2 linked regions of the Caenorhabditis elegans genome follow. The protein of the gene in region 2 purifies or fractionates together with the protein of the main gene of each other region. This does not show direct contact. Each region holds a gene or a part of one and is shown on either strand. Other genes may lie near its edges.

Region 1 (8,608 bases), on a different chromosome or scaffold from region 2:
TTCGATGCATCAACAACGCCGATACGGGCCCTAAAACTGATCCAACAACTGCGGCAGTTTGAATACTTCTAATCGTCATATGAATACAGAATTGTGTTCCAGGCCTCGGCACCCAATCGTAATAGTCATCGATCGGTCTTCTCATCTTTTTACGCATAAAGTCGCGCATTTTTTCAATATGCGATCTGGAAAATAGATTTTAAAAATAATTAATTTGATTCTTTAAATATAAATTAAAAATTCTCACCTGGCATCCTCATTTCCACCGCTACTGACTCCCATCGATGGTTAAACCTGGAAATATTAGAGAAATTAGATGAAAAATATAATAAACAGGAATTGAATAAGGTTGTCAACCCAGATTGGCTCGAGTTAGAATAAAAAGGTTACAGAGAGTTTCATTCAATAAGTTTGTAGAATTAATATAACGTCAATTGGGAACATAAAAACAGTAATGTATAAGAGAGAAGAGGGAAAAACGTTTGAGACCTTTAAATGCGGGGAACTGTGTGACTGAGTGAATCGGTTTTTGATAATTAAGAAATAATGAGGGGTAAGGGAATAGTAATAATGAAATTATACAGATGATTTGATAGTCGCGGTTGTCAAAAATTTATATAATTTATGTTGCAATCGATGGTGTTGGTGGATTTTCAGTCATTTCATTGAGACCAATTTGTTTGAAGCGCGTCAAATCGAAAGTGAGAACACCAGATGTTGTACAAGCGGCTGGATATGGGAAGATTCCGATGAGTGAGTCAGCTTTGTTGTAGAACTCTTCTTTGAGAGAAATGACGATAATTTGCATATGCTCACGAGCTGATTCACAGATGTACGAAGCGACCTGAAATTACAAAAAAAACGTTACAATCTTTTCTCGCAGGTTATACTAAAGGCGGAGTAAAATCGTTTTGAAATTTTGCTTAAAAGTTTGATAGTTTGATAGTTTTTTAGATCAACTATCAAAAATATGCAGAAAAACCGGAGGATTTACCCTTATTTTATAATTTTTGTGTTTTACAACAGTAATATTCGGTCATTACAGTCATTTTTCTATCTTTTGAAGCAAAATTTAATTTTAATGAACAGTTTAAATAAATACCTTTCCAATATTAGTATTATCCAAAGCAGCATCAATCTCGTCGAGAACGAAAAACGGAGCAGGATTACGTCCGTGAACTGCAAAAAGCAGTGCCAACGCGGCAATTGTCTTTTCTCCTCCAGACAAGTTATCCATCGGACGGAAACGTTTTCCAGGAGCTACACAATTGTACTGGATACCATCCAGATAGGGCTCTTCCATGTTATCAGCTCCGAGGAAGGCTTGAGCAGAAGTATTTCGTGAGAGTTGCTTGTAAATGTCATCGATAGTGTTGGCCACAGGATCGAAGAAATCTTGGAAGCGTCGGTAGCGATCGGTTTTTACCTGAAAAAAACAATATTTTAAAATCGATAAAATATATGAGAAAAGTGAAATTGAAGAGGTGTGAGAGATAGAGGGGACAGATTGAGTGACAATATGGGTACAACTGTTGTCATTTTAAAGTTATGAATGTCTATGTCTCTTATCTCTAATGTTTTTGTCACTTGGTGTCCAGAAGGTGCACATTTTCATTTCAAGGAATTTCAAGAATATTCTTATTTTCAGTATAGGAAAATTATCGCAAAAAAATTATTTTAATGAAGCGGTTTTTTTTTCGGTGATTCAAACATGTTGGTTCAACGTTTTTAATTTAAAAAATGTCAAAATGTAAAAAATCACCCGATATCTGTGAAAATAACATTTTTTGAGTACTTTATCAAATCTTTTGACTGAAATAAATGTTCTTTTCAGATAAATCAAGAGATTTTCTATACTTTGAAAAAATAACTGATGCCCACTCCTGATTTGAATCCATTTTTGACATTTAAAAAATAATGCATTTTGTAGGTTTTAAATATATATTTTTTAGCTAATTTTCTAGTTTTTATCTAGTCAAGGAATTTTTTTTATTTTGGCCCACAAAATTATGTGTAAAATCTAAATTTTTCAATGTCTAAAATGGATTCGAAGCTCTCCTAAACTTTCATTTTTATCGATACATTTTCAGATACTAAACGTTTGGAATTTCTTAATAACTAACCTTCTCGAACTGTTGCCGAATTCTCTTCGCCTTCTTTCGAGCATTTTCAAGTTCTTCAGTCGACTCGGCTTCTCGTTCTTTCACCTCTGCCATTCTCTGATTGGCTTTCAAATTCGGCGCATTCATTTTTGACACATTTTTCTGCAGTTCATCGATTTCCACATTGAGTCGATTCGACATTTGCCGTACACCATCATCGTCATCCACCTGTAATGCAAATCGTGTGAATCTAGAAATGAACTAAAACACGGAGGGGGGCAGGGCGGGGCGGGGTTGGCAAAAGAGCAAATAATTTTTGATCAGCAACCATCACTAACAGGACTGCTGGTTTTTTTTAAACCGAAAAAGTAGATTTTTTTCGTATTTTGTTTGGCTCAAAAATCGAAAAAATTTAGGGTCAAAATAGTTCAGAAAAAATAAATAAATTTTTGTTGCCAGTATTTTTTCGGTTTGCTCAGAAAACCGAAACATGTCTTGGCAGCACTAACATCTTTATATTCTCGCGGTAACGAGTCGTAGTTGATTTTGATGTGTTGCTCTCGTTGAATTTGCTCCTCTGATACACTTGGACCATCGGTGGCTGATTGAGAAGACTGAGAAGCTGTGTCATCTGAAATTAATTGGAACTTGAAAGGAAACAGGGAGACAAAAATTATGAAATATATATCTAAAAGCTGAAAACTGAATTATGGAAAAGTGAAAATGCGATTTTTTCAAAACATCAAAATCAAAATAAATATCCAACCTCCATCATCTTCCTCATATTCAACGTCAGCCATACTTCCTGATTTGAGTGGTAACGCAATTTGCCCAAGCTTCACAGAATGAAGAAGAGAGTGCCGTTCATATTGCTTCTTAGTAAGCAAACTTTCAAGACGAAGAAGCTCTTTTTCAGCCTTTGTAAAGTCTTTCATCGCAACTTGTGCAATTTTTTTGACCTCATTCCACTCGGTTTCCAATTTATGTGATAAGGCCTTCTTCTCTTCCAGCACTTCCTTGTCTTGCTCCATGGATTCCGTGTGCTCTTTCAAAGCGGCCGCCGCCGTTTTCTCTTTTTTCTTCATGTCCTTATATTGTCGGTCGATTTGTGAAACCTGTAATAAAAATATTTCAAATAAGGTAAACAAAACAATTTTAAGAATCTTAAAGAAACTGATAAGGAGTTTCTTTACAAAAAAATGAAAAACGTACTTTCTCCTTTTCAACTTCAACTTTCCGATTGCCATCTTGCTCGGTGACAAAGTCAATTTCGTAGGCCAACTTTTGGATATCATCGTCAAATGATCGAAGCTTGTCTTCCATTTCTTGCTTGATACGCATTTCACGATTCTCATAGTCACGAATCGATGCGATTCCAACACGAGTACAGAAATCAGCGAAAATTCGATCAGCCACTTCATTGCTCTTCGTTTGCAGAGATTTTAAAGTACTTTCACTGCGTTCAAGTTTTTCTTGACAATTCGAGATTCGCGGCTGAAAATATATCAATTTTTGCAGATTACAAATTTAAAAGGAGGTCTAATGGCTCCAAAATTTGCTCCAAAATAAATAAATTTTTGAAAGATTTTTGAGAATTTTCATTACGAAATTCGTTAAGTTGAGCACTTTTTGGGGTTATAATTTTTTTTTTCCAGAACCGTTGGTCACTAAAAATAATCACCGGAAGCATATTCATCTCCGCGGTCATGCCTTCAAGCTCATTTTGAAGTCTTTCCAACTGCATTTCTCGCATATTCTTCAGATCTCGCTTCATCATTGCCAATCTTTGCTCATTTCCATTAATCTTGGAGCGTACACTTTCCACTTCGAGTTCACGACGACGATGTTTCTGAAGATCCGCGATTTTTTCGTTCAGTTGGTTCCGCTTTTCTCGGAGTTGTCTGGAAAAATATTAATGTTTTTTTTTCAATTTAATAAAAAATAAAATAAAAACTCACTTGACAACTTTCTCGTCCCATTTCTTGGACTTTTGTCTCAAATCAGCAGAACCTCCGGACATAACTCCAGATTGTTGGAACAGAGTTCCGTCCATCGAAACTGCCTTGAAACGATCTTTCAGCTCTCCTCCACCGTATGCAAGCTGCTTAGCATCTTCTTGACTCTCACAAACTAATGCGTTTCCACAAACGAATTGAAGAGCTTTTCTAGCTGCTTGATGTTGAGGATTGATGACATCGAAGACGAGCTTCACTCCAGCTGGCTTTTTGATTTCACGAAGTTTTTCATTTAGTGGATTAACAACTAGTGCATCATTTGGAAGGAAGGTTTCTGGGGGATAACGGTGATCCTGGAAATTAGTTATTATGAATTGAAATTTTGGAAGTGAAAAAAGAACAAACCTTCAGATAAACAATTGCCTTGGCAGCAGTCTCTTCAGTATCACAAACAATACTGTTCATATGCTTCTGAAGAATCTTTGTGGTGGCAATGTTGAACCGTTTATGAGACGGTTGACAGAGATCGACAAGTCTACCATACACACTCTCCGGGAAATTCTTTTTCAATCCTTCAAGTGCCTCCGTTCTTCTTTGATTTCTTTCTCCTTCTGCAGAATCTCCAGAAGCTTCGGAGAGTTGACGAACGACAGCTACAAGCTCTTTGTTGTATTCCGCTGCTGCTGATTTATCAATAACAACGTCATTTTCAATCTTCTTAAGATCAGCTTTCAAGATCTTTGTCTCTTCTTCAGTTTCCTTGATTCTTTGAGCAAGAGTTGCAATTTGAGTTTCAATTCTTCGCACATCACCTTCCTTCGCTTTAACTCTTTCTTGATGCTCCTTTTGGCGTCGAAGCTCATGATTTAGAGAACTCTTATCACCTTCGAACACTTGTTCGGCCATCAATAGCTCTCTTTGAACCATTGCTGATTCTCGCTGAGCTTGATCTTTCAGCTGTCCGTACTCACGTACTTGTTCATCCGAAAGATTTAACTCGCCTCTTTGCATCATATCCTGAATCTCTGCTTCATATGCGGCCTTCTTCTTTTCTAGCTCTTTTTTGCTTTTCTTCAAATCCGCCAGCTGAGTCGAGTTGTTCTCTGCCTTACTTTCTGCAGCGGCAAGCATCTTCTTCGCAATTTCCAGCTTCTTGTGCTCGTGAGCAACGGAAACTTTCAATGTCAGCATATTTTGTTGCTTTTCAGCCAAATCCGTCTCTTTCTGATCGAGTTTTCTTGTCATCTTCTGAACCTCGCGGAGAGCTTTCCGGTGCTCCTGATGAACCGCAGCGATTTTCGCTTCTTCTTTCGACTGTAATATATAATTTTGATTATTTTTATATACTATAAATCAATCAATCAAAATTTTACGATAAAATATTGAACAATATTAGCTTCACCGGAAAATAACTTTTGTATAACTTGGAAGAACTGCTTTTTAAGTTGTTCCAAGTTAAATAAGTAATTTTCAGATAAAGAAAATATTTTTCTAAAGTTTATCACAAAATATGAATGAAAAATATTGGAAGAACGTCATTTAGTAGAATTGCCTTCATCATACCCTAGTTGCTTCGAGACTTGCAATCGTCTTTTTCTGAGCGTTGATCTCCTCTTTTGATTCGTCGATCGTCCGTTCGCAATGGAACAATTGATGGAGAAATAGCATCGTCGATTTTGCAGCCAGCTCATTCTTCATGGTTTGATACTTTTCAGCTTCATCTTTCTCCATTTTTGCCTCACGTTTCTCTTGAGCGATTCCTCGTCTCTTGTTCATATTGTGTTGAGTATCATCTTCAGCTTTTGTCATCTCAACTTTCAATCTTTCATACTCTGCTTGAAACTCGTGTGATCGTGAGAGCTCCTCGAAGAGTTGAGTACGTTCTTTTGGAGTTTTCATGGCAATATTTTCGATAGCTCCCTGATATACCAGAAAGTTTCTTGCCTTGATGAAGATATTGATACTTTCCATTTCTTGTGAATATGCTGCACTTGTGACAGTTTGACCATCAAGAAGATGTTCAGATGTTCCATTATTGACGCCTCTGGTGAATGCCTTGACTTTTCCGTCAGAATATTTGTAGTTCATAGTGACACGACATTTCTTAGCAACTGGCTTGTTAATTGGTGCACCATGAATCAAATCCTAAACATTATTGATTAAAATCTTCTATATTTTATACTTTTTCTCTTACCGCATACTTTCTAACACGCAAACTGCTTGGCTTCTCTCCGAGCACGAACGAAATTGCGTCCATAAGATTTGATTTTCCTGAACCATTTGGTCCAATGATAGCTGTGAATCTTGTAAAGGGTCCAATAGTATGTTTTCCCTTGTAAGATTTGAAGTTTTCGATCTCGAGTGTGTGGAGAGTTCCTTTGCCTGGAAAACTATCCAGCGAGCTTCCGCCACGCATTATTAGTCTGAAGAATTAAGTAAAAAGTTATAGTTGAACAAGAATAAGAATGGTGAGGTAATTTTTGGTAGATAAACCAATATCATACATGGAATAAATAAAAATAGATAATAATGAGAAACCAGTTTAGTTTATTTTAAAAAAAGTGAATATACATTATGACCAGGTTTGCCGATAATTTGAGGAGCTGATTAAATCATGACAATGCATTTTCCCGATTGCTTGGTGAACTCTGTGTGCTGGGAGTTCCAAGGTTTTGAATAAGACGGACAAGGTTCAACGGTGAAACGCCCAGTGATAGTAACTGAAATAAGTGAATAAAATACTGGGAAAATCGATAAAATCTCACCCTCTCCACTGACGAAACCTGCTCAGCTGTGAGGAAAACATTTAGAAATTTTCCCATTTCAACAATGCCTGTAAATGTAAAAACATTATCGATTTATATTGAAAAAATTCAACTTACGCTGGGTGTGTTTCTTTGGGTCGCTCATAATCGATAAAATAACGGGGAGATAAGTGAAATTGATGATCCTTAAATAGAAAAATATAATTTCAATCCGTTGTTGTCAGAAATAACAATAATAAAGCATAAATTATCGAAAAATCACTTAGTATCGTTAGATGAACAGGTTCAAATTTGAAATGTGAGGACGCTAAACGAAACGCATAAATGTTACTGCGGAGTGTCGTAGTGTTGTTTTTGGAGGAATATTAAAATGAATTTCTTGCAATATTTCGTGATAAAGATGGTACAAAAGGTAATAAAAACAATAAGAAGTTAGTATTGAAAAGTTAAAGATTATTAGAGAAAAAACAACAGAGAATGTTGTAAAAGAGCATTCCTAATGCCACGCTGATTCAAAAACTCTGAGTTAGTACGCGGAACTTGCTGAGAACATCAATAAAAAATACAATTTTCAATAAGAAAACAACTATTTACATAAAGCAACAGATCGAAGAGAAGTAGTTAAATTCGTCAAACCTAGTGTAAATTTTTGTTTTTTTTTGCATGGTAGAGTCAATTTTTTATTTTTCTGATAGTACTAAATTAAAAAAAACAACGAAATATGTGAAGGAAATCGCAATGAATTGAAAAATTTCTCTGAAAGGCTGCCGTAAATATACATTTAAAGGGACACAGACTCAGTCGTTCGGGTCTCGCGGCGATTTTGGAAGTCACGTTTGAGGCCCCACGAAAAGGGGAGCAGAACGAAAAGGGGATCTGCGAAAAGGGGAGATACGAAAAGGGGAGATACGAAAAGGGGAGCAACGAAAAGGGGATCTGGCTGTGCCAAACGCTATTTTTCTCGAAGAAAACGATACAACGATGCTCCGATGTTACGCGTCGCGTGTTGTTAAGCGTATCTTCTAGAAGAAAATTTCAAAAATCAACGTGCGTTGCGTGAGAAAAATTGCGTTTTGTGCGTTTGGCACAGTGCCAGCTCCCCTTTTCGTTGCTCCCCTTTTCGTATCTCCCCTTTTCGTATCTCCCCTTTTCGCAGATCCCCTTTTTGCAGATCGCCTTTTCGTTCTGCTCCCCTTTTCGTGGGGCCTCCCAAAACAGGATGCAGTGACGGGACCTTTTCGCAACCACCGCACACTTTTTTCGCAAGCCTCGCACGTTTTTCTTTTGAAAAAATGCAACAATATCATGGAAAAAACGTGCGAGGCTTGCGAAAAGAGTGTGCGGTGGTTGCGAAATAGGCCCCGCCCCTACTCACGCGTGGCCACGTGGCACACGTGGCACACGTAGCGATTGAAATAAACAAATTATAACTTAAATTAGTTTGTGAAATCGGTTTCTCTCCGACACACGCGTCACACAAAAATGCGTATTTTGCGTATTTTGTTTTCATTGGTAATCTTCGGATTAATAGTTCATGTATTGGTGAGTTTTTTAGACATCCTTCGATTTTTCTAGACCATAATGTTTCACCATTTTTCAGCCAACAACCACCACACCAAATGTGCCTGTTTCCGCCGCTACGAACACTTCAAACGTGACCGCTCCTGCCGGCAATTCGACAAAAAGTCCTAATGCGACCGCTCCTGCCGGCAATTCGACGAAAAATGTAAACGTGACCGCTCCTGCCGCCAATACGACGCAGCTTGCTCTTGTGAGCTCGGCGAGC
Region 2 (5,307 bases):
ACTTTTATTTACATAATTAAATTTAAATTCTGCAATTGTCGGCAATTCAACAAAATGAGTCGGTGTGACATGTTCTCCCAATACTTTTTTAGAATTAAAACTTAGTGATATACTTTAAAAAAATTTGCTTTATCTGAAAATGGCTTTGATTTCAGTTGGAACAATTAAAAAAGCGCTCAAAAACAATTATTTGAGAGCACTTTTCCAATTATTCCAACTGAAATAAAATGTATTTTCAGATAAATCAAATATTTTTTCTATAGTCTAAATATAACTAAATTTTAATTAAAAATATTGTGAGAACATTATCATTCTGTAGAGTTGCCAAAGTCAGCAATTGCCGTACATTGGACCTATCAACGCTCGGCTGTGGTGTCGATCCAGCAAAAAGATTAGGATTGTCGAAATACAGAGTCATCGCGTATTCGATATTCCAATTAGCTTTTGCCAGGAAGTTGAGAGACACAGCTTCCGTGACCTGAGTCCACTGGACGAACTGCCGGAGCTGGAAATGGTATCAAATAATAATTATGATATCATTATTTAAAACATTTTTCATTTTCTCAAACTGTTTTCTCTCTCTCACTAACAGTTTCTCACACTTTCTCTACAGTCAGCAACTGATGTCTTATCACTAAAAAGGAAGAAATCAGGAATTTCAAAACGAAAAAAATCAATAAAAGTGAGAATTTAAAAAGTGACTTCGATCGGAAATGGGAAACCGTTGATCACAATTAGAACTACTAAAAATTTTAGGATTGAGCGAAAACATTGCTCAGCTTTAAAAAATGAGGAAAATTGATATTTCATAAACCAGCAGCAGTGATTAGATTGTTTGAAGAGACGCAGGAAAATCGCGGGCAAAACGCTCTGCTCGCCAAAGTTGGGTCTCGTTAGGTATTTGGCGGGAAAACCTCGAAATTTAATATTGGAGCGCGTTTCCACGTAGATTTAAAAAAGATACATTTTTCTGCTTTGGGTCTCGCAACGATTTTGAGAAAAGTCAGCTTTCTAGATGAGCTAGAATTTGTCTAGTCAAGAAATAACAAACGAAGCAGCAAGATGTGGCAAAATTAGTTTTTTTTTCGAAATTCCCGCTACAACTCACGATATTATCGTAGTTCTTGGGAAAAATGTCAGAAAGAACAGTGCTTTGAGCTAGAGAACTCGAACTTGCTCGAGATAAATGCTGAAAAAGAGAAAAACGGGAATGGATGACGAATGGAATTTTCACACGCACAAATTTACTGTTTTCTTGTTTTCTACACTTTTTGTGATCAGTTTCCATATCACTCATCTCCACTTCATCGTCTTGTTTCCGTTTACAAACCTTTGTTTTTTGATCGGACTTCAGTCGATTCATTGTGTAGACGTAGTGGTTAGCCTGGAAAATTCATTGTTTTAGTGATTTTAAAATTAAATCTGCGTAATTTCGAAATTGTTAAACGACAAAAAAGATACAACTTTTCGAAACAAAACTGATAAGCAATGCAGTTAATAATTTCAAAAAATAAAGCAATTTAATAACGCAAAGAGAAGAGGGAAGGAAGAAGAAACGAACAACAACGCGGTCGATTAACGAATCAATAGAAAAATACGGGAAAAACTATAAAATGGTGAGCGATAGAGGAAACCACGAGAAAACGCTGCAATGTAATGCAGATGTGACGTCATACACTTTGTTTAGCGGGAAACGGAGTGTCGTATTGATTTCGATTAACGTCGGCGTCTCTCGAAAAGAAAACTGAAGAAAATCAACATAATTTTGAATTCCATTGAAAAGGAATATATTAGAGATAATATTTACTACAGCATCGCTCATTTAAAAAACATTTTTCTGTAACAGAAAGTGAAGTTTTATTGAATTTGTATTATTTTCAATGATTGCAAAGTTTTTTACATATTTTAATATGTATATACAATTTAAAACATGACAATTTTAATTGAGAAAAGCGGAACATTTAAATAATTATACAAAATTGAGAGAAAGCGTGAAAAAGCATTTGAAACAAATTTTGGCGCGCGCTTGAAACATTTAAATCTCGGCGAGACCCGTTTGTTCCCACTGCCCATGCTCCTTTAATACAGTATCTCACACTATTTTCAATTTAATTTCTTTTCTATTTCTCCATTTTCTCCATTTTTTCGACAATTTTTATTGAATTTTTGCTTCCAATTTCAGTAAAATGAGCGGTGATGTGGATTACCCGCAAGGATGTCTTCCAATTCTTAACTCAAATAATGTGACACAACAAATTGAACGCTTACGAGTGAGTTTCAGAAATTTCAACAAAAAAACAACTTATTTTGAATCTAAATTGATGCCTTTAAAGAAGTTGAATATGAGAAATGAATTATTTTTTGATGAAAAGAACGTTAAAAGAAATGATTAAACATTATTTAAAAAAATATATAATTTTCAGAAACTATTTAACTGTCTCCATGACTGCAAAACAAACAATAGCGAAGAAGTATCGTCTCCGAATCGATTCGCAAGGCTTTTCCAACATTTATCACAAGAATGCTTCCTTGACAATTCAAATACAGATTTTCGGATCCTTCTTTCACTTTGTCTCGCGAATATTCTGCGAATCTTCCAGCCAGAGCTACCGACGCCAAGTGTAATGGATTTAAAGGTTAGAATTCAAGTAAATTATTGATTTTTAATGAAATTTTCTGTTTCAGGAGGTTTATATCTACCTTTTCCGTACCATGCGAGGACTCGGAGACGTTACTCAGGATAGTCCGAAGTTTAAAAATTACTTCTCGTTGGTTGAGGTTTGCTGTAGAAATTCTAGCACCAAAAAATAATTATTTATATTCAGACAATGGAGAAAATCATTCCACCAATCATCGAAATGAAGGATCACGATGATAAAGAAGCAACTCCGGTGTTCCGAGCGTTGATCAAGGATATTCTGGCGATTCCGTGTGGAAAAGGATGGAATCAGAATCTGAAAAAAGAAGCGCGACTTTTGAAAATTCAAGAAAATGACGATGATTCAATGAATGATGACGAAGAAGATGAGAATGCCGCCGAAAAAATTCGGAAATCTTTAATTCAAATTGCAACGACAGTGATTACTAATTTGGATTTTGTTCAGAACGAGTGCCTTGATGTTTTGTTTTATCATATTATTAATCCACAGAGAGTAAGTTTTGTGGAATTAAATAGGGAATTAGCGTTGAAAACAAAAAATAGCCCCAGAATATTTAAATTTATGAATATGTCCCTTGAAATCGGCCGAAAATTTTAAAAAATCATTTTTTTTCCCTATTCCGCGTATTTTGTCGTTTATTCTAATGCTTATTTTGTTGATTTGCATATTTTCATGTCTACAAGAAAATTTTTTTCAAAATTTTCAAATTATGGATTCCGTCTGATCGAAAAGTGCGTGAATCAACAAAAACAGAAGGAATAAACGACAAAAACTTGCGAAATGTACAATTAATTTCATAAAAAATACCATCTTTTAATCACTACGACACGAAAATAACGGCGTAATTTAAGGTTGTAACTGAATTTAGAATTTATTGCAATTATTGAATGATTTTTCAAAAACCGTTATTTAAAGTTTTTGGAAAAAAAATTTTAATGCAAAACTATGAGAAAAGTATGAAAAATTCTCTTATAGAATACCCTTTCAGAATATATTTCCAACAAAAAACTTCAATTTCAGAGCAATTTCGCAGAAGCACGTGCACTGGCAGAAGATATCATCCGATCCTGCAGTGATAATGAGTCAGACACTTTAGCAAATTCCATTCGAAGTACAATGACAGCAGCCGCAAAAGAAGGGAAACTTCCAGAAGAATTCGAGTTAACTGGTTCCAGTAATCGAAGTAAATTCTTTGAAGTACTCCGTTATCTTCACTACGTATCATTTGATTTGGTGTCTGGCGCTATTCAAGAACTCAAATTTTGGCTTCAGGTAGGACAATTGAAAAAAGGAACTTAGTAGAGTACTCATCAAATCATTTTTCAGTCAGAAAATGAGCAGTACCGAAAAGAAGCAGTGACAGTCGTTGGAATGTTGACACGTGACAAACATTGTCAATTCGGAATGGATTCAAATGATCCAACATGGAGTGCTTTTTTGAATGCGTTAGTTTTTTAATTGTAATTAAATTATTTTGTCGAATTTTTTGTGATTTTTTTCAGGTCTATCGATCAAGATGATAGTGTTCGACACGAATTTGTGCAACAATCGAAAGATATTCTAATTTCGAATCATTCACATCTCAGGGGACAGATTATTAGTAGGTTTTCGTGAAATAAAAACTATTTTTTCTCATATTGGATAAAAGCTAAAATTGAATTTTCACGGTTTTGAAAGTTGGTTTTTTAAAAAATGTTTTTTCATGTTTTTTAGTGAAATTTTCCAAATTCAAGAAAATTTTGAATTTTTCTAAAGTAAAATCCCCATTTTCAGATAGCCTGCTACGTCTCTCCGTTGATTTAAATGACGATATTCGACGAGATGTTGTAACTGGAGTTACTGAAGTGGCAAAAACGAAATTAGAAGTTATTAGTGATAAAATGCTAAAGGCCTGTGCCGAGCGGATGAAGGATAAAAAGGTTTTTTATATTAAAAAATCTAATTAAAAAAGCGAAAACCCTAAAAATTCCAGCCAAAAGTCCGAATTCAAGCGATCAAACGTCTAATGGATCTTTATAATCATGTGATGACGTCATCACCTCAACCATTTTTCTCAAAAGATGGAAGTTGTGCACCAAAAGATTCAAAAGAAGCGACATTATCATATACTGAATCAGAAAAAGAATCAGTTCGATTCATTTCAACGGCAGTTTTTAATGTTTATAGATTGACACAAAGATTGCCAGCTTATCACGATGCAAGAGCAATTATCGAAAGATATTTCCAATTATATCTTGTTCCGTACAAAGTTGAACCAAAATTGAGAGTTCGATTAATGGCGGATTTATTCAGAAATCTTGATGATATTGGATGCATGTACGTTGATATTTTTAGAATTTCTAAAAAAAATTTCGTTCTAAAACTATCGAAAATAATTCTAACAGTGAAAAAATGGGTTTTTACGGGATTTTTTTTGTTGCAAAAACTAATCCGAATTAATTTTGAATTGCCTAAAGAAGGAAGTTTTCGATTTTTCTATTATCCGAAAAAATCAATATTTCATCAAATTTTGTTTATCTCGATGAGAAAAAAACATAAGAAAACATTAAATTTTATTCTAAAAAAAAAAAGAAAAATTGCCAACATTTAAAGATATTTTCTAGTTATTTATATTATATATTTAGTTAAAAAATTTTTTTTGAATTTT

Evidence for each region.
Region 1: the proteins of evl-14 (region 2) and him-1 fractionate together in Caenorhabditis elegans (co-fractionation; one large-scale study listed by BioGRID). This does not show direct contact.

The regions. Positions count from the first base shown.
Region 1 is NC_003279.8:4,951,188-4,959,795, forward strand, and holds him-1 (Structural maintenance of chromosomes protein 1), read right to left. Parts: upstream 6,481-8,608; 5' UTR 6,474-6,480; coding exon 6,252-6,473; intron 6,203-6,251; coding exon 5,621-6,202; intron 5,372-5,620; coding exon 4,463-5,371; intron 4,411-4,462; coding exon 4,061-4,410; intron 4,004-4,060; coding exon 3,784-4,003; intron 3,597-3,783; coding exon 3,315-3,596; intron 3,218-3,314; coding exon 2,869-3,217; intron 2,734-2,868; coding exon 2,612-2,733; intron 2,331-2,611; coding exon 2,124-2,330; intron 1,427-2,123; coding exon 1,103-1,426; intron 845-1,102; coding exon 623-844; 3' UTR 384-622; downstream 1-383. Other genes in the region: F28B3.6 (uncharacterized protein), read right to left, coding at 1-185, 248-282; mzt-1 (Mitotic spindle organiZing protein (MOZART) homolog), read right to left, coding at 6,670-6,777, 6,823-6,890, 6,940-6,967; enu-3.3 (ENhancer of Uncoordination), read left to right, coding at 8,305-8,364, 8,423-8,608. UniProt on the Caenorhabditis elegans protein: Involved in chromosome cohesion during cell cycle and in DNA repair. Required for chromosome segregation during mitosis. Central component of cohesin complex. The cohesin complex is required for the cohesion of sister chromatids after DNA replication.
Region 2 is NC_003281.10:4,310,004-4,315,310, reverse strand, and holds the start of evl-14 (Cnd1 domain-containing protein), read left to right. Parts: upstream 1-2,182; 5' UTR 2,183-2,186; coding exon 2,187-2,270; intron 2,271-2,423; coding exon 2,424-2,636; intron 2,637-2,685; coding exon 2,686-2,778; intron 2,779-2,825; coding exon 2,826-3,152; intron 3,153-3,680; coding exon 3,681-3,932; intron 3,933-3,986; coding exon 3,987-4,105; intron 4,106-4,162; coding exon 4,163-4,260; intron 4,261-4,433; coding exon 4,434-4,579; intron 4,580-4,632; coding exon 4,633-4,976; intron 4,977-5,307. Other genes in the region: dcn-1 (Defective in cullin neddylation protein 1), read right to left, coding at 347-505, 1,331-1,363.